Linked DNA regions of Callithrix jacchus. The protein of the gene in region 1 interacts with the protein of each later gene in a biochemical or structural test. Links are inferred from orthologs where the notes say so. Each region holds a gene or a part of one and is shown on either strand. Other genes may lie near its edges.

The links.
Region 2: the proteins of EIF4G1 (region 1) and EIF4A1 form a complex in vitro, tested with the Homo sapiens proteins (3 studies listed by IntAct, with this or other methods). The link is inferred for Callithrix jacchus from reciprocal best matches to the Homo sapiens genes EIF4G1 and EIF4A1.

The regions. Positions count from the first base shown.
Region 1 is NC_133516.1:13,309,649-13,312,469, reverse strand, and holds part of EIF4G1 (eukaryotic translation initiation factor 4 gamma 1), read right to left. Parts: intron 2,543-2,821; coding exon 2,444-2,542; intron 2,340-2,443; coding exon 2,205-2,339; intron 2,086-2,204; coding exon 2,004-2,085; intron 1,875-2,003; coding exon 1,734-1,874; intron 1-1,733.
Region 2 is NC_133506.1:74,070,991-74,073,307, forward strand, and holds the end of EIF4A1 (eukaryotic initiation factor 4A-I), read left to right. Parts: intron 1-14; coding exon 15-158; intron 159-238; coding exon 239-376; intron 377-496; coding exon 497-586; intron 587-624; exon of another isoform or gene 625-765; intron 766-834; coding exon 835-914; intron 915-1,012; coding exon 1,013-1,157; 3' UTR 1,158-1,666; downstream 1,667-2,317. Other genes in the region: CD68 (macrosialin), read left to right, coding at 2,314-2,317. UniProt on the Homo sapiens protein: ATP-dependent RNA helicase which is a subunit of the eIF4F complex involved in cap recognition and is required for mRNA binding to ribosome.

The DNA of each region.
Region 1 (2,821 bases):
TCCCTCTCCTCAAATTTCTGTCCTTGATTCATAGGGGCCTGTCCTCCTTTGATCCCTGCCAGTGTGTCCGCTCCACCTCCTCAGGGCTGTATCTCAGGCCCTTGTCCCTCCCCCTCAGGCAAGCCCGCAACCTCCTCTGACTCCCACGAGTTACCCTGTGCCTGCAACTCACAAAGCTGCCTCCTGCCCTGACCTCTTCTTTTCTAAAAGGTCAGATACTCCAGCTGTCGAGCTGACATCTTGATTCCCTTACTCAGGGACCACAACTCAACTTGATCCAGCATTCCCTACCACAGCAAATGACACCACACTCTGTTCTTTAAACCCACCATGACTTAAAACCATCCTGCGAGTCATCCATGACTTCTAATCTCTCATGGCCCCTACTCAGGCCAGTGTAACTAAAAGCTGCCAACTCCATTTCCTAAGTATCTCCTGATCTGCCCTCTCTTCTCCACTGTCACCAGCAAGGCTGAGCCTCTGGTGCTAACAGTGCCACATTCCCTCACCCCATTCAAATCATCTTCCCTCTATGGCCAGGATGATCTAAAAACTAAAGTCCAATTCCTTTATGCCTTGCTTAAAATCCCACAAGGGCAGCCAGGCATGGTGGCTCATGCCTGTAGTCCCAGCACTTTGGGAGGCCAAGGTGGGTGGATCACGAGGTCAGGAGTTTGAGATCAGCCTGGCCAACGTGGTGAAACACCATCCCTACTAAAAATATAAAAATTAGCCAGGCATAGTGGCAGGCTCCTGTAGTCCCAGCTGTTTGGGAGGCTAAGGCAGGAGAATTGCTTGTGCCCGGGAGGTGGAGATTATAGTGAGCCAAGATTACGCCACTGCACTACAGCCTGGGTGACAGAGCAAGACTCCATCTCAAAAAACAAAAAAAAGAAAAAAAAAGAAAATTCTTGCCCTTAGGCCAAAGCCCGAACTCTGGCAAGGCTTACACCAGCCCTGGATGGTCAGGCCCGCATCCCTTTCAGCCCCATCTTGCCTCACTCATGACTGGTGGCTATGCTCTCCCACACTGCCCTCTCTTCAATAGTTCTCTTCCCCTGTGTCAAGTTCTTCCTACCTTAGGTAGAAAGCACACACATGGTGCCTGTTTCAAGCATTCTCCCCCTCCCCTCCCATTTGTTGTGGAGCAAATTCCCACTCATGACCCCTCAGGCCAGGTGTCCTCCCTCCGAGAGCACACGTCTTCCAGGCTCAGTGCTCACGTCAGTGCCACCTCCATGCCGGCACAGGAAGCTACTCAGCTTCCTCTGTGAGCATGCCGGTACCCTGACACACACCTATGTGCTGGACGCACAGCCTGAGTCACCGTCACCTAGACCTTGGCCTCCTAGTGTGGAAAACAGGGATAATACCATCCACCCTAAACATCTGTGAGGACTACATGACGCAAGGTAAGCGAAGAATTTCAGCCCTGTGCCAGGCCGGAGGGGCACAGTACCGGGAAGACGCTGTCATTTATCACCTCCACTGCTGGCATCAAACACATGGCTAGGCACAAAACAGGCAGTCGATGACCCTTCAAGGCTGTGGAACTCCTTCCACTTGGAGACACCACCACAAACGCAGGCAGAAGGAATGAAACCCTGAGGGCACTTTACTCCGCGATGACTCCGACCTTTCTTGGGTTGAGACCCTTCCATGAAGGTCCATGACTATGCCCTGCTATCTGACAGTCCCTCCACCCCACCCCGTGCCCGTGGCCTGGCTCTTACTGGGAGGCTGTTCTAAGGTCACTACAAGGGCCTGGAGGGCGTAGAGTGCCTGTAGCTCCTTCTGCTCGTCACACAGGTATTTCTGCAGCAGCTTCGCTCGCGCTTTCAGCACTGCAACGTCCACTCGGAGGGGAGTCTCAACTACAGGAAGACAGGAATGAGTGGAGCCGTGAACCCTCACCCTGTTTGGAAGAGGAGGCCAAGACTGACACCCACCTCCCTCCACCTGTCAGGTCCACCCTTGCCCCCCATCTCCCTGGTTCTTCTTACAAATAATTGCAGAATAGCAGACAGCCGTCATGAGGGCTCGAACTAGCGTGTTGGATGCTATCTGCTGCTCACTCAGGTTGACCTGTATGAGAGAAACAAATGAACCCCCAGTTCTGAATTGCGCCCTTCGTCTTCATCCCTGCTGCCCCCGCCCCACCCTAAGAACTTCGTCTCCTTTATCGACATCCAGGAGAAACCTACCTCTATCCAGTCCAACACCCGCTGGTTACTGCTGCCTTCCTTCAGCAGCTTCTCTAGCTGTCTGCTCAGCTCCTCAAAGGGGAGTGCCCTCTGGCCAGGGGCTTCTGACTCCTCGCCCAGGGTATACTCTACCTTCTGCGATGGAAAAGACCCACAGGTAAGAGGTAAGGTTGTTAGTGTCAGACAAGAAAGTCTGGCCAGCCTCAAAGGCTAGAATTAACCCACTGCCAGCCCCAAACCTGTTCAGCGACGAATGCACCAATGTCCTGGCCTTCGGGTAGAAATTCCTTCCAGCTAAGCCCAGCTTCTCGCCACAGCGTCCCCACCTTTTTAGGACCCTGGGAAACACAAGACCAACCCAACTTAGCAACGCTCTCTCTCTCTCCAAGGAGCCAACGGCCCTACCACATTAAGCCAACAAATATTTACTGAAAGCCTACTAGGTCCCTGCCAGGCGTTAAGGATGCTATCGAAGTACCAACAGGCACAGCCCTTCCATTCCTACAGTCTAGTGCAGGGCAGGCATCAGTCACATAACCACCCAAATAATAACTTGTTGGCCGGGCATGGTGGCTCACACCTGTGATCCCAGCATTCTGGAAGGCCAAGGCAGGTGA
Region 2 (2,317 bases), on another chromosome or scaffold:
TTTTTCTCCATTAGGTAGTTTTGCTGTCAGCTACAATGCCTTCTGACGTGCTTGAGGTGACCAAGAAGTTCATGAGGGACCCCATTCGGATTCTTGTCAAGAAGGAAGAGTTGACCTTGGAGGGTATCCGCCAATTCTACATCAATGTGGAACGAGAGGTGGGGCCCAGTGCAGGAGGCGGGTCTGGTAGTGAGTTGTTGGGTATAGCCCCTGACTGATTTTGTCCCCACACCTCCAGGAATGGAAGCTGGACACACTGTGTGACTTGTATGAAACCCTGACCATCACCCAGGCAGTCATCTTCATCAACACCCGAAGGAAGGTGGACTGGCTCACTGAGAAGATGCATGCTCGAGATTTCACTGTCTCTGCCATGGTGTGTTTGCTTGTTGCCAGCCCTTTGTGGGTCTGCCCATCAGAAGTGTCCTCCTCCAAGCCAGTGTTCCCAAAACCCATGTACCTGCCTGGCCTGTTAGATGCTTATTTTCTCTTCTAGCATGGAGATATGGACCAAAAGGAACGAGATGTAATCATGAGGGAATTTCGTTCTGGCTCTAGCAGAGTTTTGATTACCACAGACCTACTGGTGAGTAGAGGGAATTTACTGGAAAGGCAAAAGGGAGGATCCAAGGTGATTCCCTCTCCAAGGGGACTTCCAGTGCCCCTCTCAGGAAAGTAGCAACTTGGAATAGAATCTGGCATGCCTAAGGTCTTTGGGGGAACAGGGATGCTTATTTCCTCTGCTTTCCTTGGCTGCCTACATGGATATCCATGTGTCATCCCTTTGGGATAGGTTCTCATGCACATGCTGAAGAGTTGTCTCTCTTGATGTAGGCCAGAGGCATTGATGTGCAGCAGGTTTCTTTAGTCATCAACTATGACCTTCCCACCAACAGGGAAAACTATATCCACAGGTAAGTGTACATCTGGAACACTGCCCCACCCCCCTCATGCCTGGCCTTCACTGGACTAAAGCTCCTCATGTTCCTCATCCCCTTCCCTTGTTTTCCAGAATCGGTCGAGGTGGACGGTTTGGCCGTAAGGGTGTGGCTATTAACATGGTGACAGAAGAAGACAAGCGGACTCTTCGAGACATAGAGACCTTCTACAACACCTCCATTGAGGAAATGCCCCTCAATGTTGCTGACCTCATCTGAGGGGCTGTCCTGCCACCTAACCCCAACCAGAGTTCAGTCTTCGGGGGGGCTGAGGAGTAGCAGGCGGGGGGAGGGAAGGGAGCCAAGGGATGGACATCTTGTCATTTTTTTCTTTGAATAAATGTCACTTTTTGAGGCAAAAGAAGGAACCGTGAACATTTTAGACACCCTTTTCTTTGGGGTAGGCTCTTGCCCCAGGCGCCGGCTCTTCTCCCAAAAAACACTAATCCATTTCCCTAACCTAGTAACCTCCAGATCCCAGAGGCTCTCCTCACCTCAGCTGAGCTCCTTTGAAAGTGATTCAAGGGACTGTGTCATTCAGCCTCATTTGCTGGACCAAATCTGGAGGAAGAACCCTGAAAACCCCTCAGCAAGATTGCCCAGGGGATTGTCCCCAGGTGGGGGGAAGCAGGGGAGAGAAAATGGTAGCCATTTTTACATTGTTTTGTATAGTATTTATTGATTCAGGAAACAAACAAAATTCTGAATAAAATGACTTGGAAACTGCCTGTTTGGGCTTCTCATTTCTTACCTCCCCTACCCCCTTCCACCTGCTATTGGGTGCATCTCCCTCCCCCCTTTACTAGCAGATTGTTGCTTTTCTTGCCACCATCTGAGCATTCCCAAACGCTGAACAACTGTTCTTAGCACTGAGAATGGTGATGGCAGGAGTGCTGCCCCTCTGTAAAGGGCTGGGTGTGAACATCACAAGCCCCTCATGTGCCTCAGTCAAAAGGAAGAACTAGATGGGCCACCCATAAGGTCAAGGAGAAAGGGGAGTGGAAACACTGACTTCCCCACTGAGGGAGGGGCTGTTACCTTAGACGTCTGCCCCAACGGCCAAGCAAGTTTTGCTGAGAGGAATGGGTCCCTGCAGGTCAACAGCCTCAGGGTTTTGTATCCACGTGACACTGTTGACTTTGCCCTGATTGCTCCCGCTTAAGTGGGGGCCAACAGTCCCCTAACAATTTCGAAAACTAATGACTAAGAGATGGGTGGCTGGAGCTGAGGTCCCTGAGTCAGGCTGTGGGTGGGATCATCTCCTGTATGGGAAGTGAGACTTCTCATTTCCTCCTTTCCAAGAGAGGGCTGAGCCAGTAGGGTTGAGCAACTGGTACTGACAGCCGAGCTGGACTTTGGGTGAGGCAGTTCAGCCATGA